Linked DNA regions of Styela clava. Each later gene encodes a partner of the first gene's protein in a complex. Links are inferred from orthologs where the notes say so. Each region holds a gene or a part of one and is shown in the gene's direction. Other genes may lie near its edges. The genes, in order: THO complex subunit 3-like, THO complex subunit 7 homolog, SAP domain-containing ribonucleoprotein-like and THO complex subunit 1-like.

Evidence for each region.
Region 2: THO complex subunit 3-like (region 1) and THO complex subunit 7 homolog share a complex: the UniProt entries of both Homo sapiens proteins name them as parts of the transcription/export (TREX) complex. The link is inferred for Styela clava from reciprocal best matches to the Homo sapiens genes THOC3 and THOC7.
Region 3: THO complex subunit 3-like (region 1) and SAP domain-containing ribonucleoprotein-like share a complex: the UniProt entries of both Homo sapiens proteins name them as parts of the transcription/export (TREX) complex. The link is inferred for Styela clava from reciprocal best matches to the Homo sapiens genes THOC3 and SARNP.
Region 4: THO complex subunit 3-like (region 1) and THO complex subunit 1-like share a complex: the UniProt entries of both Homo sapiens proteins name them as parts of the transcription/export (TREX) complex. The link is inferred for Styela clava from reciprocal best matches to the Homo sapiens genes THOC3 and THOC1.

The regions. Positions count from the first base shown.
Region 1 is NC_135250.1:23,430,207-23,437,994, reverse strand, and holds THO complex subunit 3-like, read left to right. Parts: upstream 1-4,515; 5' UTR 4,516-4,850; coding exon 4,851-5,024; intron 5,025-5,653; coding exon 5,654-5,810; intron 5,811-6,043; coding exon 6,044-6,171; intron 6,172-6,249; coding exon 6,250-6,326; intron 6,327-6,628; coding exon 6,629-6,790; intron 6,791-6,871; coding exon 6,872-6,989; intron 6,990-7,175; coding exon 7,176-7,334; 3' UTR 7,335-7,483; downstream 7,484-7,788. Other genes in the region: large ribosomal subunit protein eL27-like, read left to right, coding at 1-109, 1,388-1,498, 2,902-2,950; mitochondrial inner membrane protease ATP23 homolog, read right to left, coding at 7,513-7,723. UniProt on the Homo sapiens protein: Component of the THO subcomplex of the TREX complex which is thought to couple mRNA transcription, processing and nuclear export, and which specifically associates with spliced mRNA and not with unspliced pre-mRNA.
Region 2 is NC_135258.1:15,198,061-15,205,712, reverse strand, and holds the start of THO complex subunit 7 homolog, read left to right. Parts: upstream 1-4,589; 5' UTR 4,590-4,767; coding exon 4,768-4,780; intron 4,781-6,556; coding exon 6,557-6,677; intron 6,678-7,004; coding exon 7,005-7,119; intron 7,120-7,652. UniProt on the Homo sapiens protein: Component of the THO subcomplex of the TREX complex which is thought to couple mRNA transcription, processing and nuclear export, and which specifically associates with spliced mRNA and not with unspliced pre-mRNA.
Region 3 is NC_135261.1:12,045,488-12,052,737, forward strand, and holds SAP domain-containing ribonucleoprotein-like, read left to right. Parts: upstream 1-4,780; 5' UTR 4,781-4,840; coding exon 4,841-5,539; 3' UTR 5,540-6,611; downstream 6,612-7,250. Other genes in the region: serine/threonine-protein phosphatase CPPED1-like, read left to right, coding at 6,956-7,001, 7,180-7,250. UniProt on the Homo sapiens protein: Binds both single-stranded and double-stranded DNA with higher affinity for the single-stranded form. Specifically binds to scaffold/matrix attachment region DNA. Also binds single-stranded RNA. Enhances RNA unwinding activity of DDX39A.
Region 4 is NC_135252.1:8,701,596-8,709,176, forward strand, and holds the start of THO complex subunit 1-like, read left to right. Parts: upstream 1-4,361; 5' UTR 4,362-4,580; coding exon 4,581-4,625; intron 4,626-5,460; exon of another isoform or gene 5,461-5,674; coding exon of another isoform or gene 5,675-5,701; intron 5,702-5,986; coding exon 5,987-6,221; intron 6,222-7,161; coding exon 7,162-7,299; intron 7,300-7,581. UniProt on the Homo sapiens protein: Component of the THO subcomplex of the TREX complex which is thought to couple mRNA transcription, processing and nuclear export, and which specifically associates with spliced mRNA and not with unspliced pre-mRNA.

The DNA.
Region 1 (7,788 bases):
GATACCCTCGCAAAGTAACAAAACCTATGTCAAAGAAAAAAGTAAAAAAGCGATCTAAAGTGAAGAGCTTTGTGAAAGTCATCAATTACAATCACTTGATGCCAACAAGGTATGGTGTGGTCTTGCTTTCATAAGAATTCAAACAAATTCATTCAATGTATAAACGTTTTTTATTGCAATGATAAGTATCAACATTCTTATTGACTGCACTATAATATTATTTCAACACTATTTGTTTTCTTTGCTTCTGTTTATCAAGTGGCTCAAATATTTCAAAAAATAATTTTTGTGATATTTCGTGACCCAAGGATATAACCAAATGGCATGCAGTGATTTCATGTCAACAAATAGTATAATAAACACTGGGTTACATTGTGATGTGTTTGGTCGAGTTACTGTTCCACTTTCTCAGTTTATCTTACTAAACTCAAATCAGATTATACTAGAATTATTGTACAAATAGTGGAAAATTAGTGTTGGAAAAATAACAGAATTATACCATATCATAGAATGTTAGTAATCTTTTTTACATTGAAAAAGATCGTTTAATTTAAATAGATACTATAGGTGGCCATTTAATAATAATAATATGGACATTTTGAAGATACTATACTAGGCGCGTTGAATTATTCTAAAAATCTGCGCACCATTCTTGTACATATAGATATATATTTACTGTAGTTACTCGCCCTGTCTCGAAACGATATTTGTAATTTCATAGCAGTAAAATTTTATTATGAAGTTATCTTCATGGTTTTCTTATGTTCAAGTTTGACAGAATAGAGATGGAAATAATCCTAAAACGAGTGTTCTACATTCTAATGTCTGTTTATCCTGAGTCTTATTTGCAGCAAACGTAGCTCCAGGTGTCTCAAAATAGAAAACATAAAACTACCGGTACCGGTATTTGAGCATGATATGTGTATGTTCAAATTTAGTAACTATATTGATGGATCAATGGTTTGGCAGTGGCACATCCATGCATCTGGAACTATCAACTGGTTAATGCAGTTGTTCCCAATTTTTTTTGTTCAATTCCTTCTTTGCCCCATTGAGAATTATTTATTCTTCCCTCACTATGCATGTAAACTATTTTTTTTATTCAATGTTAGTGTTATAGGCACGAGTCACACCTTCGTTTTGTATAGTTTAAGTAGTTGATTGTGTGTTCATGAATATGTGTTGTAGTTATAGTAAAAAATATTTGTAATATTACCTCAATACAGAGCAAAATTCTACCTTGAAACGGCAAAATTTCTCTCTTGAGTGCAATTCAGCCCCGGTTGGGTTAAATATCCCCATTTCCAACCTGGACTCGTAGGTGTTCAACCAATTTCCATGGTGTAGGAAACACTTCTATATCGAATATTTTCTATGTCTACCATAGATATTCCGTTGACGTTCCCATTGACAAACAAGTTGTTAATAAAGAGGCAATCAGAGATCCTGCTGGTCGACGAAAAGCGAGGCGAGAAGTTAAATCAAAATTAGAAGAGAGGTTAGTTTTTTTCTTTTCTCTTTTTCACGTTATTTTTCTAGATAAAGGTCTGGTGGCCTGCTTTTTTAATAAGGATACCAACAGAATTATTTGATTATTTTTAACAAACTTTTTAATGCAAATACCGTGGTTCTTAAAGTGGGCGACGCACAAGCACATTTTGTTGGTGCGTCGCAAAACTCTTCTTTGTTTTGTGGAATTGTACCTGTTTTGTGATTGAACATTTTTTTATTTGAACAAGAAATTATAAAAAGAAGATTCGCAAGTAGTCTTTGGATTTCTTCGGATAAAAATTATCATTTCTTGGTTAAAAATTGTTGCGCCATCTCATCCCCTTTGCGACTTCGTATTTATGTGAAGCAGGCTTCTTTACCATGGTTGTAATCTAGACGAAATATAGATCTCGAGCAAATGTTGAAAGGTAAATGCCTGCGGCTCTCACAATTCAACCACAAGCAGTACACCCGTCCCATTAAATGCCATTTCACTGACTTTTGTTATGTTTTGTATGATCGTTTTTTCGAAAAAGGTCTTTAGTAAAAGGTATCAAGATGTTTTATTAGGGAATCGCAACTTGAGCATATTTTTCCAAGAGTGTCCGATACAAAGAAGTTTGAGAACCACCGCTTTAATAGATTTAGCAATTATTACGTGAATGTGGCTTCTGAAGAAGCAGTATATACAGGCTTCAGTACTCCATATTTTTTTGTTTGAATATGGCTCATAAAAAATGAATGATCTGTTGGTTTTAAAGAGTATTTTAAAACATTTTCAATACTATGTACATGTAGTATAAAACTAAATTTTGAATCCGAATTTAACTTTTTTTGAAGCATACAACAGTTCTTTTTTTTTTAAAACTTGAATCTTCATTTGTAAATATTATTACGGATAATTTATACTTTACATATGTCATTAGGCATTAAATTGAGTCCGCAATAATAAATTTTAAAGCAAATTTTCAAGAATTTTACTTGTACTTGCGCTACTTATTCTAGATTTGTGAGCCATATAGTAGTTCATGGCAATAATCAAATTATATTCCCAACATTTATTTACTATAATGATTTTTACCTCACCTTGCTGAGTTCATTGAAGGTCAACATTCGATAAAATTAAACTTTCATAGCGATTAAAATGAAAATTATCAATTCTTTTTATGCCTGATGAAAGTACATTCAAGTCGAAGTCGAAACCTTTGTAAATTTTTGCGATACCTGGATGTCCCAGACACAAGCTATCCTTTCTGCTATGTTTTTGATGTTCATCCCCAAATGGATGGAGATGGAGTTAGGCTATATATTCTGCTTATATCCTATTTAATTGTGATTAAACTTGTATATATTCAATTGTTCCATACATGTTTGGTGATAATATACTGAATTATCATGTATATCTTTCAGATACAAGACCGGCAAGAACAAATGGTTTTTCCAGAAGCTTCGATTTTAAAATACTTACGAAGTTCGAAATATATGTCATAAAACCATTATTGTGTGTTTATTTCGTTGCAACTATCAGAGTTTACGCATTGATCAATGTAAGGCCAGACTGCAGAATAATACGACTTTCAACTTAAAGACGCCTGGGTGGCAAACAAAATGTTGGCCTTTTTCAGGATAAAAAACAAGCTACAAATAGAAATTTAAGTGCCAAATCCACTCTCTACTGACGTAACCTTTGCAAGATAGGTAGTTCATGTTTATCCAGGGCAATGTTATAGTCTCTGAGCTTTTGTGAATTTCATTTGTTGGTTTATTCTGGTCCCACTGACGGGAAGAATGGCAATGCAGAAAGAACAAAATGGCGGTACTAGCATAGTGTGTGTGTCAGGTTCGACAACCAATGTTCCCAGATCTAAATCAACAAATTGGGAGGGAAAGTCTCAAAATCAATGTTATTGATGGTAATTATCGTATGCGAATCAGCCAACTAGCGTCGATTATTAGAGATTAATATTAGAAAATTACCATGTATAAAATGACTCCGGACCTTTGACCCCCGAAAAATTCTACCCATATTTTACCATTGCAAAATGTTCGGGGTTATTTTAAGAGTGTTCTTGCGAGTTGGCGCCAGTAAACTGGGGGTATGTGTTCCAAACCATCATTATGATTCATCGCATACAATACAACAATCTCTTTTTTAAAAGTACCGATAAAAAATTTTAGCCTAGGCTATCAAAGCTATGTCTACACTAATTTTTTTATTACAGCAATTAAATTAAAACTCCTAGGAAGACAGAGTAGTCATTGAATTATCTGATTTATATTTAAGTTTCCGAAAACTAACGAATAGAGTTCAAAAACAAGTTAATGTTTACGATCAGGCTTGAAAATCTGTCCTGAGTGAGAAAAGTATCTGAGCGGATTCGAAAAGGGAGCATTGTTACGTCACTTTGGGCATCTTGCTGATTGACCAATATCTCGAAGTAAACAAGGAAGTTTATTCTCGGGGAAAGGTCCATATATTGCTGCGAGCGTTTCCACTACTCTTCGAAAATTTCTCGTTGAATTTCATTTATTATTTTGCAGCTTTCAATCCATTCATGGTTGTTTATCGGTGCTTGTACACCATCCCCTTATATATCACCACGCAATATGGTGAGAAGGTGTAAGATCAGGCGAACGTGCTGACCATCTTATATCACAATGCAAAAAAATGGAATGCCTTCGAAAGATTCCTGCCTGAACATTCATTGATGTTTGCCATATAGAGTAATCATAACATTGCATTTTCTATAATATTCTTAAGTCTTGGCAAGGAAACGTTTTGCAGCTTCTGCGCATAACAAGCTGGAGTAAGTAAATCGTATTTGTCTCCCCCAAAAGGTAAGGACGCCAAATTCACAACTACGTTCCGTTCTCTCTCGCTATGAAGCTTTCTAGGTTTACAATATGACACTTGCCCAGTAACGAAAAATTTGTTTATTGACAAAACCAGATATATAAAAGTAAGCTTTTTACTAATGGAACATTTTGAGTGAAAACATTCCACAATAAATGCACGGTGTTTACTTGTACATTAGTATTTATTGACGGTCCAATTCATAACTATTCATGCATCAAAGCTTTTAACAAATCATTCATTATTATAATCTTCAAAAAACAAAAACTGTTTATTAACTACATAAATTTACTTAAACTAGGTGAATACCTACAGCAGCAATGAAATAGTAATAATTTAAAGTGAAAGAGTGTTTTTGCCTCGTATTTTTAATGTAAATCTGATAAATATAAAATGATTTATTCAGTAAATCTTCTGTGTTGGTATAATAATACCGGGTTAAATTGAAATTAAAATTGATCAGTTGCGACTTGCTAAAAATTAAAGCTCGCGCGCCACGTTAAAAATGGATTTCACGAAGAAAATGCAGCAATATTTTAAATTACACGATCGACAAAAAGAATATGGTGCTCATACATCGAAAGTCCATTCTGTTGCTTGGAACTGTGACGGAAGAAGACTTGCTTCTGGATCTTTCGATCAAACTGCCAGTGTTTTTACTCTGGATAAAGACAGGCTGGTTTGTAAAAGTTTTACGTGCATATTGTATCAGACAATGCTGTATAATGGTATCTTGGTATTGTGAAAATGGGGGGGGGGATTTCCCAGAAACCAGGTTTCTCGTGGGAAAATGCGATATAAAATAAATAGAAAACTTTCATTATAACATAGTCTGTTGCTATTTCTTCAGTATTTTCAATATTCTAGATGTGAACCTGTTTGAGAAATTGATACAATAACATGTTAAATACCTTTCTTGCAACCATTCTGCCATTAGTTAAGACGTGAACCACCCTACGACGACGAGGAGTCCAGCAATACTCTCACACATAACTATCCCTGCTTGGGATAGGAACCTGTAAACCCATGCAGATTAATGTATGTATGTTTATTCGTCTCGTAAAAGCAATATAAAAGAGTTAGTAATTATAAATACACAAGACCATACTGGCCTAAAACACAAATGTAAGGCGTACACCCCTTTTGATATAAATAATTTATGAATAAATCAAATGTGATGATTGTCTTTTTAATGCACAATGAATGAAAAGACCAAGCTGGATTAGATATGACTATCTCGGAATGAATTGTCCATTTAACAGCAACGATAGATATCTGTAGACTAATATGCATTTTTTTGTGATTTAGTCCAGAGATCAATCATACAAAGGGCACACAGACAGTGTAGATCAGCTTTGTTGGCATCCAAGCCATCCAGATTTATTTGCAACCGCTTCTGGTGATAAAACAGTAAGAATATGGGACGCAAGAAGTGGGAAATGCTCAATAACGATGCAAACAAAAGGTATTGTTTAATTAGCGATTTCAACTTGCTCTCGGGAATCTCACCAAGCCATTTCCCAGAAAGTAGGGATCTGATTTGCTTTAGGAAGCTGTAACCGACCATGGAAACCATCCTACGCAGGGTGATCAGATTTGCGATGGCAAGTGTATTCCTGATCCTTAACACATCGTGCCAACCACTGATTTGAGATATATCTATAATTTAGCTTGACAACATCGATATTGGTATTCCAGGTGAAAACATAAACATATGCTGGAGTCCCAATGGGCAAACAATCGCAGTTGGAAATAAAGAAGATTTGGTGACATTTTTTGATACAAAAACATGGAAAGTAAAGGCATATGAGCAGTTTAAAGTTGAAGTAAGTTTCATGTATTTGTAACTAAGCCAACGTAGTAATGGATATTTTTGTGAAATATTTTTTATTTTATTTGTCCAGGTGAATGAAATTTCTTGGAATAATTCCAATGATCTATTTTTTCTGACGACAGGATTAGGTACTGTTAATATACTAAGGTAAGCAGCATTTATTTCTTTCAAATACATTCCTAAGCACTATTACTAAAATAAGTACTCTTTTAAGTAGGTTTGGGTGAGGGCTCGAGGCCTTTTTTTCAAGCTATATATAAATGAGTGTTAGAGTATCAGTAAAAAGAGTAGATAAGTATTATCGGTATCTGGGGCGAGTGGACGGTGTGGTCATTCAGGCAAGGTCTGGTGCTTTCTCTTCTCTCTCAGAATGGCTTGCTGAAAACAGTGGGCCAGTGCACTAAATATACTTCAGGCATTATTTAACAATTTGTGAAATTAATTTACAGTTATCCTGACCTAAAGCTGATTCAATCGCTTAGTGGACATACAGCCAACTGTATATGCATTGAGTTTGACCCTACAGGTCGCTATTTTGCAACAGGCAGTGCTGATGCATTAGTAAATTTATGGGATGTAACAGAACTTGTTTGTGTGCAGACATTTTCAAGGTAGGTTTTACAAAAAAACTTCAAGCATATACTGCATTTTCAGAGCCACTAAACATTTTCTTAAATATATTTTTGTGCTAGGCTTGACTGGCCTGTTCGAACATTGAGTTTCAGTCATGATGGCAAACTTATAGCTTCGGCATCTGAAGATCATTTCATTGATATTTCTAGCGTAGCAACCGGTGAAAATGTTTGTGAGGTAGGTACTCTGTCTATCATTTACTTGATTCAGACACAGAGTATATGGAGGCGGAAATACTAAACCAAAATCGAAGTCGCTAGGGGCTATTTTTGCCCTATTTGACTGAATATTTTTCTGTTTCTTGGTTTAATTCTTGGGAACACTTGTGGATGACACTGCTCTCTTTTTTTGTTTGCCATGCAGGTCAAATGTGAATCACCAACATTCACCGTAGCGTGGCATCCTAAGCAACTCTTACTCGCATTCGCATGTGATGACAAAGACAAGTATAAACATGATAGAGATGCCGGAACAATTAAATTATTTGGTCTCTCAAGCGAGTCCAACAGTGACAAAAAGTAAGGGTTTGAGAGCTCACCTTCTTTTCGGAAATTAGCAAGCAAGACGATGGGGTAGCGGGAGCGAAGCGTACACTCAACACATATGGATTGACCACCGTGGTCAAAGTATCACGCAACAGTGAATTCATTTGAAATTGGATATTAGAAAAATAATACAAATATAGAAAACATCAGGTCATTCATATAGAATATCGATTTCTATGTATATAAGCTTTATAAGACAGTTCTGCTTGTTTCTCATCATACGGTAGTCTATCATGGGGACTGTGATCGTAAAAACATGTCAGAAAAACCTTCTTAACCAATGGCTGAACAGCGTTCAGGTCGTAATCTGGATGCCTTGACAGAAAAGATTGTACTGCATTCCTTATCACACAGGATTGGTAACCCCTGTGAACAAATAATTATCATTACTGCTGAGAATACGGGAAAATAACGTGACATTTCAGAGTCTT
Region 2 (7,652 bases), on another chromosome or scaffold:
GCTTCATGAAAAATATCCTTCCTTAAAAAAACATAGCATTTTTATTTTGTACTAACTTAAATCTATCATAATAGTGAGGGTTGGTGCCTTCAAACTTCACTCATTATGTAGTCTCAACATTTTAAATACGATTATGAGAGTGGTGAATTCTAAGTTTTAAAATCTTTGACAAGTAATCACAGAGGTGTAATCTATTGAAACTTTTCAGCCTATCTACCTCAAAGAATAAATGTACCACCAATTCTATGATGGGAAGAAGCAAACATTTCGAAAGTATAGATTTGGATAGTTATTCTCAAGCTATAGCAGTGAGTTGTTCGGGGAAGAGTACATTTTGGCTGTTGAATAGAAATTCACTGAAGTTTATGAAATTATTTAAATGGATCATAAGTTGAATACGCAAAATCTCAACATTGTTATTGAATTTTGGGGTAAAAGCATACGATCTGGGGCACAGCCAGGATTTTTCAACGGGGGTTACAGTTAAATTAAATAAAAAATATTTAATTAGGAATAGTTATTAACCCTCTACTAGACACACTAATTGTTACGTTCAAGACTTTTCTACAAATTTTGCTCAATTTTCGTTGAAGTGAAAATCTCCGTTAGTTTGGCGTTTAAAATCGGCGAATCAGTTGGAATATTTTGAGAATGAAAGGTAGTGCAATGTAAGCCCTAGGGTTAATCTCCAGGGTCTGGAAGAGTTAATAAACTAAAAAGTATACATTGTTCACAGCGAAATTCCACAGTTACGTGTAGCCCGCCTCTCCTTGCCTGGCGGTGTTTGGTGAATATTTTGCAAGTCCTATTTCAAACATGGACCATTAATCCGTAGTCCGCGGATACCCGCATTTAGAAATAAAACCTTAAAAATCGCGAAAAATAAATTTTGGAGAGAACTATAACTCGCAGATGTCAGTAGCGTCATAAGTGTTTATATGTACAAAAACACGTTCGCATGTATCGTCGATCAAATTCATGAAATGTGAAACTAATACTTGGAATTTAATGTTAATGAAGTTGATTTTTTATTGCCATTCATTGATTATTTACATGCGCCATGATGAGTGGCGGGCACAATCGTATTTTTTATATTGAGTTATTCGAATATTTTTAACAAACACCGAATAATGAATATTGTCATTTTAAACAACACTAATTGGGATATAGGCCGCCGAAACGATGCTGTGGCAATAATTTTTTTTTCTTTTTCGGATTTTACTAGATGGCTGAAAACTCCATAACAATGCTGCTTTTTTATTTCATAATTTTGTCATAATCGAAGGCTGCAGTAAATGTTGTCACCACGATCGTTTCGGAGGCTGACATTCCAATTAATATTGTTAAACTATATCAAAGCACTTTATTATTCACTAGCAAACATTAATGATCGTAGTTTGGTTTTTATATTTCGGACAGAATTCTGAGTTCACATCGGCGAAGATGTTAAAGACAACTATTGAGGAGTGCATTTACAACACAAATTAATTTTATTGTGATTTTTATATTCTGTGTAAGATTTGCAACACAATTTGTAAATAACGGTCCCAATTTTAGACCAACAATATTATTATTACTGACCCCGGGATGCGATATTTGTGAGGCGTATTGTTCACATTTCTATGCTTTTAATTTTAGATCGTGTCCGTGTTACTTTCGTATTAAATAATAATCAATAAACGCAAATTGGTAATCTTTAGAATACTCAATGTTCAGTATTCACGTAACTCAGATTTGGGTTTGGGTTAAAACACTGATACTAAACACGTGAATAAATAGGCAATAATGACATTTCTACATGGTCAAAATAATATTTCTCCCCAATACCTCAAGAAATTTCCACAAAATACTATGTTCACTTGTCTTACTTATCTGTTTCGACGTTTCTAAATTTACAAAAACGGTGATGATGCGCTTTTTGCGAAAACGTTTCTACCTGTTAGTGATAGCCGTCGGTTAATTTTTACCCGTAACTCGTTGTAAATTAATGTTAATGTTTTTCGCTATAAGTAATTTTTCCAAATAAGGCCATTTTCGCTTCGATAATACCCTAGATTCTAATAAAAACAAGGCTTAGGTTCGTGTTGTGTGAAAAACTTCAGATAAACCTCTTTAATAATAAATAATCAAATCGTATGCCTCTTGGGCGGAAGGGTGTGCTGCTAGGCTTTGAAATTTGGTTAATCAGCTTTTTTCGCTATACGTAATTTTTCAAAAATGGGCCATTTTCGCTTCGATAATATCCTAGATTCTAATAAAAACAAGGCTTAGGTTCGAGTTGTGTGAAAAACTTCAGATAAACCTCTTTAATAATAAATAATCAAATCGGATGCCTCTTGGGCGGAAGGGTGTGCTGCTAGGCTTTGAAATTTGGCTAAATCAGCTTTTTTCGCTATAAGTAATTTTTCCAAATAAGGCCATTTTCGCTTCGATAATACCCTAAATTCTAATAAAAACAAGGCTTAGGTTCAAGATGTGTGAAAAACTTCAGATAAACCTCGTTAATAATAAATAATCAAATCGGATGCCTCTTGGGCGGAAGGGTGTGCTGCTAGGCATTGAAATTTGGTTAAATCAGCTTTTTTCGCTATACGTAATTTTTCAAAAATGGGCCATTTTCGCTTCGATAATACCCTAGATTCTAATAAAAACAAGGCTTAGGTTCGTGTTGTGTGAAAAACTTCAGATAAACCTCTTTAATAATAAATAATCAAATCGGATGCCTCTTGGGCGGAAGGGTGTGCTGCTAGGCTTTGAAATTTGGTTAAATCGGCTTTTTTCGCTATACGTAATTTTTCAAAAATGGGCCATTTTCGCTTCGATAATACCCTAGATTCTAATAAAAAACAAGGCTTAGGTTCGAACTGTGTGAAAAACTTCAGATAAACATCTTTAATAATAAATAATGAAATCGGATGCCTCTTGGGCGGAAGGGTGTGCTGCTAGGCTTTGAAATTTGATTGAATCAGCTTTTTTCGCTATACGTAATTTTTTCAAAATGGGCCATTTTCGCTTCGATAATACCCTAGATTCTAATAAAAACAAGGCTTAGGTTCGAGTTGTGTGAAAAACTTCAGATAAACCTCTTTAATAATAAACAATCAAATCGGATGCCTCTTGGGCGGAAGGGTGTGCTGCTAGGCTTTGAAATTTGGTTGAATCAGCTTTTTTCGCTATACGTAATTTTTCAAAAATGGGCCATTTTCGCTTCGATAATACCCTAGATTCTAATAAAAACAAGGCTTAGGTTCGAGTTGTGTGAAAAACTTCAGATAAACCTCTTTAATAATAAATAATCAAATCGGATGCCTCTTGGGCGGAAGGATGTGCTGCTAGGCTTTGAAATTTGGCTAAATCAGCTTTTTTGACTATAAGTAATTTTTCCAAATAAGGCCATTTTCGCTTCGATAATACCCTAGATTCTAATAAAAACAAGGCTTAGGTTCGAGTTGTGTGAAAAACTTCAGATAAACCTCTTTAATAATAAATAATCAAATCGGATGCCTCTTGGGCGGAAGGGTGTGCTGCTAGGCTTTGAAATTTGGTTAAATCAGATTTTTTCGCTATACGTAATTTTTCCAAAATGGGCCATTTTCGCTTCGATAATACCCTAGATTCTAATAAAAACAAGGCTTAGGTTCGAGTTGTGTGAAAAACTTCAGATAAACCTCTTTAATAATAAATAATCAAATCGGATGCCTCTTGGGCGGAAGGGTGTGCTGCTAGGCTTTGAAATTTGGCTAAATCAGCTTTTTTCGCTATAAGTAATTTTTCCAAATAAGGCCATTTTCGCTTCGATAATACCCTAAATTCTAATAAAAACAAGGCTTAGGTTCAAGATGTGTGAAAAACTTCAGATAAACATCTTTAATAATAAATAATCAAATCGGATGCCTCTTGGGCGGAAGGGCGTGCTGCTAGGCTTTGAAATTTGGCTAAATCAGCTTTTTTCGCTATACGCAATTTTTCAAAAATAGGCCATTTTCGCTTCGATAATACCCTAGATTCTAATAAAAACATGACTTAGGTTCGAGTTGTGTAAATAACTTCAGATAAACCTCTTTAATAATAAATAATCAAATCGGATGCCTCTTGGGCGGAAGGATGTGCTGCTAGGCTTTGAAATTTGACTAAATCAGCTTTTTTAGCTATAGGTAATTTTCCGAATAAGGACGTTTTTTAGCTATGAGAATACCCTAGGTTTTAAAATTTGGAAGGCTTATGTTCTCCTATGGGGGTACGCTGACTCCCCATTTTTTAAACTCGTCATCCATCTCCTTAGTTTTGTTTACTGTACAACTTGACTTGATTTAGGAATTGCTCATCTGCTATTTCGAAGGAAGTTAAATAAAATTCGTGTCATTTTTATTGTTTTTTCATTGTTTATCATGTAATTTATTGTTATTTTTTGCTTTGTAGATGTTAATTTATCGTAAATGATTAGTATCTTCCCATTGATCGTATTCTAAATTCGTTTTTCTACATTTTTTCGGATGTAGATTATGACACTCCTTCATTTCTGCTGCCAATATTCACCTTTCCGCTTCGCCGCACACAAAAGTCAAATTGCTACTAGCTTCACAGTGGTTGCTGTTTGTCAGTTTGCAGCGTTACTCTCTGACAATACTTTTGCACGCGTGCTGTCGTACGGTACCCTACAGTCGCAGAACCGCTGGTGCAAGGCAGCCAAATATTCTGGATATTTTCAACAAGACGTCATCAAGGTTCAACGGTTATTAAATAACTCATTAACTGGATCAGAGGATAATGGCTACGGATGGTAAGCAGAAATGCCCGAACATTTGCAATCTATACCGGTACCGGTACGAAATTGAGGGTCTAGTATAAGTTTATTTCGACTCCATAATCAGCATAACAATACATTTGACGGATAAAAACAAATAAATAAAAACTGATTATGAAATCAGGGGAGCAAACGAAACCTTAGATAGGTAGGGTTTTATAACGTACAAAATATAAGATGGAAGGTTTTGCCAAGAGGAAGTGGTACGTGTTTACTCACCTAAAATTATTAAGTTATTTCACACACACTCACATGCACCCACCAGCCACACACACACCCAACCACTGAGAAGTTATTTAAGTGAAAATAAAACACGATAAATTTAGGGTATACGGTACTATACAGTAAACAAAAAAATATAAATAAATACTAGAAAAGAAAAAAAATTATTTGCCACACCATATTGATAATTTTGTAATGGTTGCCAATGCCAAATTGATCGATCTTCCAATCGTTAATTAAAATATAAAAGGAAGATTCTATTGAAAACATATTGCCAAGCTGATTAGGTACCGGTATAGTTGGAGTCAAATGCCAAGTTGCCCAACCAAAGTTGCCAGAATTGGGTGCATGAAGAGGTGGGCGAGACCATTCCATTCCCCAAATTAGAGCCTATTATTGCCAAATTATAGTCCAGATTGTGATAAGTAATTAAAGTTACTGGAACAGTAAAATTACTATAATTAACTAAAGTTGGATATGGAAAAAAATTGGTTACAAAGGGTGTAAGTGAGGTTTTTCATTCTTGGGTATTGATTTCAGACAAGGATATAGGAATAAGATTGTTATTTCACAGGATATCGGAGTCTTTGTTTGATTTTTTCCTTATGTGTTTTACTTCATTTAATCACTTTGAAGTAACCTGAAAAACAAAAAATAGTTTAGTTTAGTGCCACAAGTACTTGCAGTGGGGGTAGCATAACGAATTTTGTATATGTTATTCCTAACCCCCACCTGACTATGCCATCCAAAAATTACGTCACCATCACGTCATATGGCTTGCCAAAGTATAATTACGATCGCCCGAAATGGCATCTCACTCCCATCGTGATTGTTGTGACGCGAAAACGAGAGAAATAGCTTGCTCGATTTCGGATGATCGTCTGCACGTTTTGGACGACCAGCCGCATACTTTGGTGGGCCTTATTACGCCACTGTGATGTCGAAATGACGTATTTTTTCGGTGACGTAGTTGGGTGGGGGTTAGGATTGACATATGCAAAAATTGTTGAGTCAGGCCAACTAGAAGTACATGTGGTACCGGTACTAAACTATACCAGACCCACATACAGACTTACATTACTGCATTATTCTTCACTCAATTTTTGGCTTTTAGATGGGAGATTTCAAAGGGGTACCGTACCTATCCTATGCTACATAACTGACTATATAAAGTATAATGAAAATTTTTACCCCTTAATTTTGAATTCTTTGTCGAATACTGAAATATGTCTCAACGACTTTAATTAACTCTTTTAAGACCCATTGATACCGGTATGTTTTATTGGTAGGTGGGATGTCATATTAAGACTGTAAGAGGAAGACATAGTTGTGACTTGATATGATCAACCGAGTTCACTATTCTCATACTATGTCAGAGCAGATAATTGAATGAGAGACTATCAACTGGTTGATATGATGACGGCAACTTACTGTCGTATCTACTTTCAGAACTTATTCCGAATAAATGTAAAAATTCATCCTGTACCACTTTCTCTGCTTCAGATTTCAAGCAATAATATTTTTTTTTAGATGAAGTAATTCGAAAGCGTCTCCTGATAGATGGAGATGGAGGCGGGGATGAAAGAAGATTCACTACTTTGATGAAACTCTTTATGAAATGGTGCAATACTGAATCTTCAGAAACTGATCAGTAAGAGATATGTACTAACTACTAAGACAGTAAGAGTTGAATATAGAATGGATTTCTGAAAAAGAAAAGATATTTGAGAGTAGTGTCTTATAAAAATGTGGTTTTATAATGGATTTCTTATAGTATACATAAAATTACTCAAAACTAGAAATCAAAAAGCTTTACACCGAAAGTAAAAAAAGTATTATGACATTCGATTTCAAAACACATATCAATTAATAAAGAAAACAGTGAGATGCAAATAACAAGATGCTGTTATCACAGTTCCTGGTAAAATTGGCCTAAATATAATAAACTGCAAAATTTATACTACTGGTTTTTATTCAGTCAGACACTACAAAGAATGCTATCAATTCTATCTCAAAGTGAATTTGCAATGACGAGGGCAACTTATGTTCATGAAATGAATAAAAAGCAGATGAGAAAGTATGAAAAAATACAGGTATTCGACTATGATTTTAGGGAGAGGGAAGACAATACAAAGGCTTGATTGATCAATCTTATGATATTGGTATTTAAACTTGTGAATTTCCCCTGTTGTGACAAAACAAGCACAATGGGTAGCATCTTCTTATTAATAAAACAGAAATGATTATATTCACTATGTAATATTGTTAACAACGAATTTATTGCACAATTTAAGCAACTATGTGAGTGTCTGATGGACTTATTATTTGTTATAAGTGTCTTTATCGATAATCATGGTCAACTAGTTATGTTGACAATAAAAAATGATATTTTCCCCCTAGAACTTACACTTTGTCCCTTAGGCAAAAGCAGTTGTCTTGATAGAAGCCTAGCTATGCAACTGCAGTAGTTTCTTGCAACTGTTTTATAAGTACCTTCTCCAGTTTTCGTATGGAGATCGGGATTTTGTATTGAGCATAGAAAAATTATAAAACTATATGTAAATATATATCTGAGATTTAATTGGCTTATTGATCCATAATATGTTGTATTCAATGTTTTGTACAA
Region 3 (7,250 bases), on another chromosome or scaffold:
CATGGACTTGATGGTGGCTGGTCGGTTACGTGAACCACCCTACGTCGGCGAGAAGTCGAGCAATCCTCTCGCACATAACCATCCCTGCATGGGATTCGAATCTGCAAACCCACGCAGACTAATCAGAGGTGCGATGGCGAGCGTATTCCTGACGAGTAGCACCATGAGCCGCCTTGCCGAAAGGAAAAAGTGAAACGATAAAAATGACTACAAAAGTACAAGGCCGCAGCCAAAAACAAGAGACAAACGAAAAAAAATAGGGTCGCAGCCAAAACAAGTGAGAGAGGAAGTCAAAAAAAAAATTTGAGCCAAAAACAAGGGAGAAAAAAAGAAAACAATAGGGTCGGAGCCGAAATAAGAGGGGGCGGAAGACTAAGTCAAAACAGAAATTGACGAGCATGGAGGGAAAATTGCACCAGCGAGCCAACGTTGATATTTTTTAGTTGGTCAACAGCGGGAAAAGTGCGGCCTCGTAGCACGAGAGAAAGATATTTCATTTTCACAACACAATGTTAAATAGAATGGAATAATGCTGATTTTTATAGTAATACAGTACATTGAACAACTTAAACATTTAATTGTGTAGGACTTTTGTGGGTCATAGAGGCTCTTGACCATTTTGTTTACACTGTGATCATAGGGTAACTTTTTTTTATGTATCCTGGCAAATCCAGGTGTCGCATAAGGGGGTGACTGAAATATCTGGCTGATCTTTGATTCGTGGAAAACTATTCGAAAACGCGCAACTCTCAGTGTGTCTTCCAATGCCACAAATATCAATAATGTTGTACAAAATAATTTGATATATTGCAATAAAATCTAGACAAACAGTTCGCGATATTTGGATGAGGTTTTCACAAGGTGTAGTGTGAAGTTAATGAAGTGTAGTATAGCGATGCGAAGATAGCGAAGCGATTTTCTGATTTTAAATAAAAATATTCGAATACAGATCATGTAAAACAATAATGTATTGGAGCTCTTGCAAGCTTAAATTGTTAATCAAAGTAATTATTATTCAGACAATAATAATGTTGATCACAAATTAATATCGAACCAACACATCCAGACATCACTACTGAGGCAAATATCAACAGAACCAGTGATGTAGAATACCAAATTACAATCTTACCAAAACGTTTTGTGCCAGGCAATAACAAATTAAACTTTAAAACAGCGTTTCCCAACCTCTTTTTGGTCGCGGACTTATTCCTCATTAGCGAAAACCTTTGCGGACTCAAGGTGCATTTCTTGCAACCGTACTCTGTGTGAAGAAGCAATAAAACCAAATACAACGGAATTTTAACGAATTTCATAATCGGAAATTTGCCGCAATTGAGCGTTCGTTAAAATGGCCGAATTTTTTAAAGAAGTAATGCCTTAGCCATTAAAGAACACGTCGTCACCATTTTAGCCAATAAAAACACGTTTTGACGTTGTAGATGAGTTTAAGGTTGTGGACAGACACGGAGAGCAAACGATGAAGACAACATTAGAACATCGAGAGACGAGACGACACTTATCAAGACGACTCCTAATACCAGACCTTTCAACACATTCCTTTCTTCAATACCTTACTCCCAAATATCCAATTGAAACCTTTCTATGAATTTTAACTAAAATAACGAATTTATCCCTAAAATGCTTTCATCTTTTCGTAAGTGGACGCAACCGCGAGTTACCATGAACACGATTGAATTAAAATAGAAAGACATTTTAAATTCTCGTAGTTGTCATGGATTGGATATTGTGCGACAGAAAAGGCCATTATACATTAAAATTCCACGGCAATCTGCGAATATACTAATGTGAGAATATGTTACCCGATTATATTTAGTTTTGATACATAATTTTTGCGATCTTGTGAATTCGACAAATCTGAAACAAAACTTACGGCGCTCCAGTACTGTAGCCTACATACCAATGTGGAGGCAGTAAAGCAAAGTATCCTAAGGGAAAATGCCCTTGTACGTATACTATGGTGGCACCGGAAATTTTGCGATTTGCAATGTAAAAAAGTGTTTTCAATCGGTTGCGGACTACCATAAAACAAAACTTATGGTGTTCTCCGTGTTATCTATAGTAGTTTGTATTGCCGCTTTTCAATTTAGAAAATTTGGGTTGCCACCATTGACACCTACCAGAAAAAAAATTATTTCTGGTTGTTCGCACTCGCGAGAAACACTACTTACGTATCTATCGACGCGCGTGCCGACTGGTGTTTTCGTAGAAAATTAGCAATTGTTTGGTTAGGCGACGCGCAGGTGACCTGTCACGCCACCTGTTGCCGAATTTTCGAATAGAAAATTGCTATTCTAATAGTTGAATATTCGAATATATATATGCCAAGCCCTACTCAGTAACCAGAAATTATTGACTGGATTAAGTGATATGAATAAACTTATTTTTTTATGTTTTATGTAAATTCTAACATAAATCATAACTTGGCTGATAGTTAGGTCTCGCAAAAACGTTTGCGGCCCGCAGTGAATTTCTGGCCCGTTGTGGACTCATTCAAACGCTCCGCGGACTCATTTGAGACCGCGGACTCGGGTTGGGAAACACTGCTTTAAAATATACAGAAACAACGTCAATTTCGGTTCAGGAATCAATCAGATTATAGTCTATTTCTAGCTTACTTAAAATTCCACAATAAAAGTTACAGCAGTTATATGTACCAATAACATAAGCCTGTAGAACGGGCAATTAATTATCCCTACAACTGGACGTAAACCTAACTAATATAACACATAAAACTGCTAGACTTGCGAACAATAACCAACAACTACCGCCAAAACAGGGCAGTGAGACTACAGCGTTGTCAGATCCCAGTGATCGGAAAAAGACAAATCAAGACGAAAAAAGCTAACAATTCTACTAAGTACAAAAGCCCTATGATTTGTCTGATTTGATGCCCTTAGCACAATAATGGGTTTGCAATAGGCTGACGTAGAGCCATCAGGTCATTTGGTGAGCCACATAAATGTCTTTTCCCATTGAAAGTTGTATTTTCGGTTGCTATCATGGCGATTTCCACTTCGGCGGGATGTGGGGTTTAAGAATAAAAAAGATTATTTAAATGGCAGCACCAGAATCTACATTCGACACAATACAATTAAGCTGACATCTGTATGAAAATTGGATTGGATTGTGACAATATAAAATTGTAAAAAGCAAGAAATAGTGTCAGCGACGTCATACAAAAAGTCAATCTTTACTTGAATTATGGGAATTTATTTATTACAGGTGTGATACGTGTGCAAATCGAGCAAGTGTCTTAGGTACCCGTAATGAATTTAATTTAAATGCAATTAAAGAGGCTCATGACTGTAGTAAATGTCATAGCAACTGAAAATGGGACGTCATATTACGCGTATCAAATTGCTAGCGCTATTTAAAACATGAAACATATTTTACCTAAATCTTGGGCTTCGGGGGCGTCTTTATTCTAGCTTGACTGCAACTGTCTGATACCAGTAGTATATATTAATCTCCAACCTTCATTGTCACCAAGAAGGGCAATCAAATCCCGAGGCAAATGAAAATCAAACTCAGAACTCAAACCGTCTTATGCCACCTCGTGGTCTGAAAAGTCTGTGGGTCGTTTAGCATCGACTGATTGAGCACTTACCTCAGTGTGTCGCTGGTTTGGTGAATACATCATTCCCGTGATATTTTTGTTTTTACAATCTTATGCAATATGCTGAGATGTAGATTGCCTAAGTTAATACAGTGTGAGTGGGGAATAATATATAGAAAATCCATTCCCAGATAGTCTTATTGAAGTTTATTATTTTTGAATTTGCAATGTCAATCTGATTAATTCAAGCTACCGTATTTTCTGAAATTATAAAATGTTTATTGATGTACAAGGGAATTTGATTTCGACCCTAGATCTAAATTGCAGACTAGTTCAACAACTAGGCTAAGTCTGTAAGCTGAGCTAGCCTTCTCAGACAGTCAGACCTTGTTATTTTCCAATGAACTGCCCACAGCTCTGGACAGGTTGACAGCAGTACTTCTGTACTTAGGATCATTATAAGATAATATTTACATATTCATTTCACTATATTTACGTCAATAAATTCATGCCAAATTTGGAATAAATTACAGTGATATGATTGATTTCATGGCACATGCATATAATTTTTTCATCAATCGAATTATTTATCTGTTTTAATTGCATTAAATGCTGTGACCAATCACTATGCCACTAAGTACTGAAATATATAACTTCGAATGGTGATTATTTGTGTCACGCAACATAGATGGAAAAGTTTGTGCATGAAGATGAAAAAATTTCCAGATGTTCAAGCCACAGATCCATGTCGCAAGGATAATGATAACTAATTTACTAACTAACTATAATAATTACAATAGAGTATATAACTAACTAATTTATTAATTACAATAGAATAAAGTATGAACGTGGTAAAGTGGAATAACGGCTGATATTTTCGTTTTACTTTTAACAGTTTATTGTACCGGACTCTTGATGTTAAATAACACGATAAAACTCATAGTTGACATTATACTATTTTGTTTTTTTTTCTGGAAAAATCTCACAACGCGGGCCGCAAAAAATGCTTTGCGGGTCGCGTGTTGGAGACCCCTGCTCTAAAATCTGAAAATATCGATTCGACATCTTTCATTTAATAAATTGTTTTCCATAAATTCATTAAATGGAACTCACTTGCAATTGATTGTTTGCAGCAATGCTGGTTATGTTATTTATATTTACCCAGTACAGCAGTATTATCTGAATAATGACCTTTGGATAATGACCATTGCTTTCATTTGCAGTATCATTTCAACTACCGTAAGCAATAAAACTATAATAAAAATGGCATCAGAAGATGAAGTTGTGATTGATCTCAGTAAAATGAGAATTCCTGAGTTAAAGAAGGAATTACAGTTGAGAGGGTTGAAGACTGGAGGCAATAAACACGACCTAATTGAACGACTTCAACAATACTTGGAGGAACATGAAGGTGCAGAGGTTGCGGATGATGAGATATTAAAAGAGGATGAAGAAGAATCATTAATAGATGATCAAAAACTAGAGGATTCTGTTTTATCAGCTCCTCTTGAACAAACTAAAGAAAAAGTGCCGAATGACACTGAGAGCGTTGAAACTGAAAATGACAAAAAGATAGAGGAAGAAGAGGATTCATTAACTGAAAATATTAAAGACTTGCATTCTCCAACTGGCTTATCTGATGCTGATAAACTGAAAATTCGTGCACAAAAATTTGGTGTCACCGTATCTGACATGAACGCTGACGCAAGAAAAGCTGCACGATCCGAAAGATTCGGAACAGGTAAAGGGATAGGTACTACACCTGGTGCGGACCCTGATAAACTCAAAAAACGGGCCGAAAGGTTTGGGGGTGCCGTCTCCAGTACCTTAAGTACTAATGAAGAAGATGAAAAACGGAGGAAACGACAAGCTAGGTTTGGTATTGAAACATCTGGTACAATAACAGGTGAAGATGTTGATAAAAAGAAAAAGAGGGCTGAAAGGTTCGGGCTGACTGTTTGAAGCAGAGTTACCTTATTACCTCATTCCATGCATGTGCATTGTTGATAGGCCCCTTTGATCGTATGTGTGATACACACCTAGGTATCCTAATTTCATCTGCATACAAGTTCAAATTGGTTTAAGACAATCTGTGTTTTATTAATGTTGTATTGTTCTCACTAGTGAGAACCATATTAGTTGAATTTAAATTGAATTTGAGTTCTCTGATGTCCACTACCGCTGCTTAGTCTACTCAATCATAGCAACTTTTGAACTGTTCTGTTGGGTGATGGTTTTTGTAACTTTGGCCTTGGCCTTGGAAAAAGTATTGGTATGCATCATGGTCCTCTGTTGCATTGTAGTTGTACAATTTACAATAGGCATATTTAATGGTACCAATTTTACTGTTTTATTAAATGACACACAAACAGGGTGATTATACTAGTAGTCGCTAGCAGTTATTTTGACATTACAACCTCGATGTTACATTCTATACTTAGTATTGAAAATTATATAACAGAATTCGATTTATAACATGGTATTGTTGCACTATATCACATTTCTTATATCTATAAATTCTTTAAATACTGATTATGACTCGAGCATAATAAATTTGTATATGGTAAATGGAAAATGAAGCTATTTCCCTAACGTATCCAAAAACTGGTGTCCATTCTTGATCACCTACTTGGGGCATCAAGATGACAATTCTCTAGATGGAAATATTCTGAAATAAAGAATACTTTGTTGTAAATTATAACTAATTTTACATCAGCTTGAATTTTCATTTTTCTTCAAACATATCTGCATTCAAATCTCGATCCGCATTTTTTCTGGGCGTTGTACAGTCCTATTCCTAAAATTTAGATTATTATACAGTTTATTATATCATTTGCAATCCATGGAAATAATTCTGTATACTTGGCTGCTTGATTGTTACGTCACTAGTCTTGAAAATATTGGTCAAATTATTTTGGAATTTCATTTTCAATCCAATGTGTTTTTATCTTGATATATTGAATATCGCCACCGAACTTTACATCAAACTTTGAAATTCATGATTAATTTCTTTGTTGTTACCATTTTGTCTAGATTTAATAATAATATAGCGGCTACTCAATAATAACTATGATGGGAGAAATAAACTGAAAATTGGAGAACCTATATTATAGCGAGAGTGGTATCAAGTCACAGGAGATGACTAGACTAAATATGAGCACATTACTAAAAAATAAATGTGGTGTAGGGGCTGGGGCCATAAATGTGGTATTCTGAAATTCACTCAATGTTTTGCTTATGAGTAATTTATTCTGTCTGAATCTTTAACTTATTGAAAAAATTAGTTATCCAATAAGACTTAACACCAAATATTGTAATAAATTGTACTGGCAAAACTGTACTAAACTAAATTAGTAAACTGATTGTATCAAATGAAGAATGCTGATAAAGGCTGTAAATCGTCAGATACCTGGGTACACGAAAGGTGAGATTTTACAATCATTTTTTTCAATAATATGTAAGCTATTTTAAGTGATTGAATATTGTTTTATTGCTATTTGACCATTGAAGCTTTTTTGGTATTCATACAAAACATTTAAGGTTTAAACTTTGCTAATCTATAGTATATTGGCAGTTTGCTATTGTTATGTGCAATTTTCCAGGTAGCGAAGATTCATGGTGTGGATCATATACGTTCATACATGGATCAGATCCACAGTTTGGATTTATAGAT
Region 4 (7,581 bases), on another chromosome or scaffold:
TAAACAGTTTAAGAAATAAATTCCATAACATGAATTTATCTATAGTTTCGAAAATATATGATATTAGAGTTAGACGACAGCTCTAAACAAATAGTTATGCCAAAACCGAGTCGGATATTACTGATGACACGCTGACACCAAAGTTATATTTAATGTTGCTCAATAGTTAACATTTTCCGTAAATACGAAGAACATGTAAATCAGGGACGAGGACGTAGAAAACAAATTTTCAAAGGGGGGTTCTCAAATTTTTAATTGCCAAATTACACCGTAACAGCTATCGGGTACGGGCAGGGGCGCAGCCAGGATTTTCAAAAGGGGGATTTTAAAATCGGAATTGTGAATTTCCATGCAACGGCTTCTGAAATGGTCGCCGCGATTGCGCGATCGTTAAAATAGTCATATAATATATAATGACTTTTTCTGTCGCGTAATATTCAATCCATGAAAACTACGAAAATTTAAAATGTTTTTCTATTTTAATTTTATTGTGTTCAACCGTAAGTAACTAGCGGTTTAGACGACTTACGACAACATTACTAATCTAAAATCCCACTGCACACAATGATGTGAGGTCAACTTATAGCAACTACCCCCCCCCCCCCAAATGTACCCATTTCATGTTTAAATCATCAAAACAAAGTTAATTTTTCCCAAAATTCGAACAAAGACTTTCGTAGGAATCAAATTACACCATTTTTAAGAACATAACATGTTCCACCCAGTCATTATCAAATTAAAATTTATATTCTCAAGACCTTTGGCACTGATTGAAATAATTATATCTAAGTTCCCATCCGTACGATGTACATATTTACTCTTATTGAGATAATAGGAGTTTCTGTTTATAACGTGAATCACGAGCTCACGTTTACAGCATTTAATTAGATTTATGATCGACGTATAAATACGACTCGATATCTTTCAATGAAAAGCTAGTGTGGATAAATGTTTTAAGATTTGTATTCTGTGTGTCGTGGAAATCTGAGAATAAAATCAAACAGAGTTTTCTAAAGTCTTCATTAACGTGGGCATTGAAGCTGAAGGGTGAACGGGCGATTGGCAGTTCTGAGACGGTCTACGATATAGCAATATACGGTGACATCACATCCATTTACCAATTATTATAAATTATATATGTTATAAACTGACCGAATATGTTTAGTTTTGATATAGATTTTTGCGCTCTTGCGAATTCGTTATCGTCGTTAGAAAAATCCCAAGATCTGCTATAAAATCCCAGAAAGTAAAATTTAATCAGGAACAATAAAATACATATCGAGTATATTTATCAAAAATACATCTTCTCCGCCTTGAAGTCCCCAAGAAACGGCTTCTGAACAGGTCGTCGCGATTACGCCACTCGTTAAAAGAGCCGGCTTTTTCAACGAATATGTAAAGACTTTTCTGTTGCATAAAATATTCAATCCATGGCCGATATGGCCATATTTAAAATGGGCTGCTTCATTAATTGGGTCGTGATCAATTTAATCTGCAATTTCGATAATATTAAATAAAGCATCACTAGAGATAGAAACTGCATCTAATCGAAGTTGTCGAGCCTTAACCTTTGTGTCGCAATGGACTTCATGATACGGGAAGCCGTAACCGACCAGCAGTTACGTGACCACCCTACGGCGGCGACGAGTCCAGTAAACCCTATCGCACATATTTATCTGCCACGGGATTCGAACTTGCGAACCCACAAAGGGTACCCTGATCAGAGGAGCGGTGCCAAGCGTATTCCTAACGCTTTCAGGTCAGGTATGGGATTAGTTAGCCAGGTATTTGTTTTCGGAAGCATGGACTTGATATTAGTATTAGTTGGTACTTTCAAATTGATTGAATATTTCGAATCAAAATGATGCGTTGAAAAATGTAAACTAGTTCGTAGGTGCCAACTTGCAAAACCAGTCTTATAAGTACAAGAGAGCTATGCTCAAATATATGGACACGTCACAGCAGATACCCCAGTCTACGCCTATTTTGACACCAAGCGAAGCAGTACTGCAGTAGTTTACCTTACCTTATCTTTATCATTGCTGGTACCGGTAACCTCAAAAAACTTCCGAGTTTCGAGTAGCGAGAATTTTCGGAATCGGTCGTCACGCTTGGCGGATTAAAATCCGTGTTCCCACGATTGAAAAGTGATACAGCGAATATTTGAATGAAATATTGGATCCCATAGGGTTCATAGAAAATTTAGGACTAAAAAAAAGTAATAACCTTATGGCAAAAAAATCAATCTTAAAAAAATGAAAATTTCAAAGCAATTGGTCCAGTATTCGAAGAGAAAAGCGATTTTATCATGACGAAGGAGAAAATACCAAAAACAACAACATAATATTGAAACGATCGTTATGTACACTGACGTGTCCAATAAGAGATTATTCCAATTATAAAATTCTCAGGGTATGTATGAAAAGAATTTATCTGAGAGAGAGGAAGCGAATTCAATATTTTTGTCAACCACAATACAAATAAATATTAAAATGATAAATTACACAGCATTTATTCAGGTATCGACTGGGAGGTCATCAAAGGCAGCTACCACCCATCCCAGCCGTATGATTTTTGAGAACGAAATAAAAAATAACCGTCGACTACCGTGTTTCCCCGAAAATAAGACCTACCCTGAAAATGAGACCTAGCCGGAATTTTAAGAATGATTTTAATATAAGCCCTCCACTTAAAATAAGACCTAGTACAGTGGTTCTCAACCTTTTATGGCTCGTGGCCCCCTTCCGTTGGCTTTTCGCACTCGTGGCCCCCCTGTTCCCCATTTTAAAAAACTAGACGCGTTGGATGGTATTATGTATTTACGACCTTTTATGAAATGCAAAAACAAACCACAGTCAAGAAAGTCAAAGCTTTTCAGTAAACAATCAATGGGAATCTTGTGCTTGGGACTGTCTGACTAGGTTCCTTATATTAGGCACCGTCTGTGATATAGCCAGACGAATGTCACTGTCAACATCAAGACGGTTTCTAAATTTTGTTTTCATGGTAGCAAGATCAGTGCAAATATGTTTGAAATACTTTTTACATGCAATAGTGGTACTTGGCATAGTCAATGTTGCTTTCTTGTCGAATTTAATTCACTTGGCAGCCAAGCACCGATATCATTTATATAAACAGCTTTTATCTTGGGATAATTTTTGTCACGGTGGTTTTGGAGTTTAGATGGACGTAATGATTTATTGCTCATTACATACGAGAAATGCAGGACTTGCGCACATTTTGTGTCATTTACTTTGGTAAAGCCAAAGCCAACGTAACTGTCGTTCCATTTTCGTATTTTGGGCATTAGAAATATAGGATTCTGAGTCTAAAATACGATACCGACAGTTATCTCTCACCATGGACCTTTCCCCGAGCATCGACTTCCTTGTTTACTTCGTGACATTGGCCAATCGGCAAAATGCAAAAAGTGACGTAACAATGCTCCCTTTTCGCATCCGCTCAGACACTTTTCTCACTCAGACAGGAATTAAAAATTCCTGTAGAAATAGCTGTGATAGACTGGGCTAAAATTCTTTACCGGTACTTTTAAAAAACAGATTGTTGTATGCGATGAATCATAAACCTTTGTTGAACCTATGTTTGAAACCTATACCGATTTTACAGGCGCCAACTCGCGAAACCACTCTTAAAATAAGCCCCGAAAATTTTGCAATGATGAAGTACAGGAAGAATTTTTCGTGGGTCAAAGGTCGGGGAAAGGTCCATAGTGAAACCAGTCTGCAGGTTAGACTGCTTACCAACGAACTATTTTGATTGATAGATTCCTAATTCCATTATGATCAAACAATTCACGCACAAGAAAGTGAATACACCCTGTGACCTGAAATTACCTATTCAGATAATGAAACTGAGGCAACGGGAATTTACTTTTAAAGGGAAAGTATGCAAACGAAGTCGCTTTTTAATCAATTATTAAACTCGTGTCGTGGCCCCCCTTGAGCTGCTCCGTGGCCCCTTTGGGGGGCCACCGGCCCCCGGTTGAGAACCACTGAGTCCTTGTAGATAACGCAAATTTTTTTTGACCTATATATCAAGAAATCTCTCCAGCACGTTTTAAATGATCAGTCTAAAACGTATGGGAGAGGAAAACGTGTTATTTAAGTAAATTGATATCGATTTGTATATTTTTTATATTTAAAAATCTCGTGATTCTCTACTTTGTAATTCTGTTTTTGATGAATGAAAATAAAAGACATCCCCTGAAAAGAAAAAAAAAAGAAAATTGAATAAGACACTGTCTTATTTTCGGGGAAACACGGTGGTTAACTACCAAATATATTTAAACGAAGAATAACATCAATGCAAATAATATTGTGAAGAGGTACAAAAATAAGTGGATATTGAAAAAATTGTTCAACGAAAGTTGAAAAAAAAAAACTTTCTTTTTGGGGTCAAAAGTCAGAAAAATATCCGGGGTCAAAATTCGAGAAATTTTCTTCGTGTTTCGCTGCTAGCTCCACAGTGGTGTTGGGCTGTTTTATAATTTTGTAGAGATCTTCTCACCTATATAATTCCGACTCATTTTGGCCTACAGACTTAGGAAGCTTTTTTTTGCAATGGCCTCTGATTTTGTATTCCAGGATGCATTGTCCTCTTTCAAGGTAAGTCAGTCTTATTGTCAGCTTGTTGACTATGATCATGCGGTCATTTATAAACAAATTGCAGAATTTTATTAGTCATTTCACACACGCTCACATGCACCCACCAGCCACACACACAACCACTGAGAAGTTATTTAAGTATGAATAAAACGAGATAAATTTAGGGTATTCGGTATACTATACAGTAAACAAAAATAAATAAATAAATACTAGAAAAGAAAAAAATTTTCTGCCACACCATATTGATATTTTTGTAATGGTTGCCATTGCCAAATTGATCGATCTTCTAATCGTTAATTAAGATATAAAAGGAAGATTCTATTGAAAACATATTGCCAAGCTGATTATAGTTGGAGTCAAATGCCAAGTTGCCCAACCAAAGTTGCCAGAATTGGGTGCATGAAGAGGTGGGCGAGACCATTTCATTCCCCAAATTAGAGCCTATTACAGTATTATTGCCAAATTATAGTCCAGATTGTAATAAGTAATTAAAGTTACCGGTAACAGTAAAATTACAATAATTAAGTAAAGTAGGATGTGGAAATAAATTGGTTACAAAGGGTGTAAGTGAGGTTTTTCATTCTTGGGTATTGATTTCAGACAAGGATATAGGAATAAGGTTGTTATTTCACAGGATATCGGAGTCTTTTTTTGATTTTTCCCTATGTGTTTTACTTCATTTAATCACTTTGAAGTAACCTGAAAAACAAAAAATAAAACCGTGAGTAGATGTTTCAATGATTGGGTGAAGGGGAACGCTCTGAACTATTTATTACAGGCAAAAAATAATTGTTTAATTAAATGGGATGTCATCAAACATTCCAGGGTTTTTAGCAAAAAATAGCACTTTTGGTCGTGTGCCCGCCGACGCGTGTCAGGTTTAAGTAGCCTACCTGTAAGATTATGATTGAGGCAAGCATGGCGCGATCTGACGCGTCTTCCATCATGATAGATGCTCTCGTTTCAGAGTGTTCAAATTGAGTGTTTGTTTTATTGAACCAAATGTCAGGACATCTTGGAATTGGAGAATCTTTCCTTATTGTAAAATTATGCAGTACCATTGCTCTCAACAACAGGTATGGCCTATCAACTCACCACATAAAACTAACCTGATCGAATTTTGAAAAATTTGTTATGGTGTTACTTATTATTTGCGAAGTTCTTTTTTTGAGACGTCTTATACCTTATTAATTCTGTAATTTTGAAACTACTCATTTTTAAGTAAACTCATTGGAAATTGCAGCATAAAGATGTTTTGAATGTTTCAGTTTTGTTAATATTTTTCTATTCAACTTCTCAATATTATGCTGATATGAAACTGTTACTGAACGGCTGTGAACGCTTTATATTTGTTTATGCAGAATGAAATTTTCGAAGATTTATCAAGTGGAAAGATTGATTCTATTGTTTCAATAAAAAGTGTTTTTCAAACTATCTCTGGCACTGAAGCAGATAAACGATTGGCAGCAGATCAAGCATTTCGTATTACAGTATCCAATCTCATTCAGGAGACAATAAAAGAAATTCATGGGGATAAAGAAATGGCAAATGATGCATTGAAAGTTATTTCACTCACTGTTGTTGCTGCTAAACAAGGTTCTATTCTGTATAACACAAATTTTTTATATGATGTTTCAATACATCTTTTGCTTTGTACAATACTCTGCTCAAGGAACCCCTGCTTGGTAAGGTGATACTACAGAAAGGCACAGTTTTCCGATTCCATAAATATCGCCCACATTTAGAGACATCGGGTATAACAGTGAGTGCCCCGCCTTCACGAGGCAGTCTGGGCCTCCATATCGACTCAAAACAGTAAACTGGCGTTCCGCAATAAACTGAAAGGAAGCGTATCTAAAAACATCATAATTGGATTCCTCTGAAAAAAATAATCTAATTTACAAACGGAAAAAAATTTACTGTACCATTCAAGAGTTTTTAGCAAAAAAACACAATTTTGGTCATGTGACAAACGTGTCTAATTGGTTAAAATTATTACCAAGACAAGCTTGGCGCGATTTAACGCATCTGCTGTCATGCCAGTCGCCCACGTTTCAGCGACGAATAGAGTGTTTAATGTCAGGACATCTTGGAATCGTAAAACTGTGCTCTACTGTACTATAGTTTGGAAGGATCGGAATCTTTCCTGTTTGCTATTTCTTACCCAATTCATTACTTTGGGCGAGTTGGTCTGCATAGGATTTGATTTGAGATTTAACCTGCTATGCCATCATAGTTAAGTCTAACACTTTAACCATTAGGCCACCTCATTCATTACAATTTTTTACTACAACACTATTTGAATTCAAGTTAGTCTGGCGTGTGGCACTGACTTTCGGTGGTTTGAATTAGATAACCCTGTCTATCCAAGTTTCATTCAATATTCAATAATGTCAGTTAAGTTATTTTCATTTCTCTTTTTTTGAGGAATTAGCAATCCAAATTACAATCCGAAATCAGCTTTTCTACAACTTATCAAGAGGACTGCATTTAAGTTTTTTTAAACAAACCTATTATAAAATTGATTCTGTTTTAGGTATGTGTTCGGCAAGTCTACCATTCAGCCTTCTAGGAGATTTGTTAGATTGCCTTACTCTTGACACATGTGACCCAGTGTTTTGCTTTATTGAAGAGAGAGTAGCAACATGGAAATCTTCACAGTTTTATACTGCAGGTCAATATTGAATAATAGCTGATTGTTTTCTTATTGATTCGTGTATATTTCAAGTGATTTGCTATTACTAAAATAAAACAACAGCAACTTTTTTCAGCACCAATAAATTCTAATTTATTGTTTTCATAAATATGATGTCACTATCCTTTTCAGTCAGTGCCTTTTTCAAACAATAAATCCATGCACAGTTATCTATGGTAAAGTTCAGAATATGTTTAGTGTTTGAAATAATTCATTCAGAATTTTTATAACAATTCATTTTTACCATCTCTTCCATTGAAA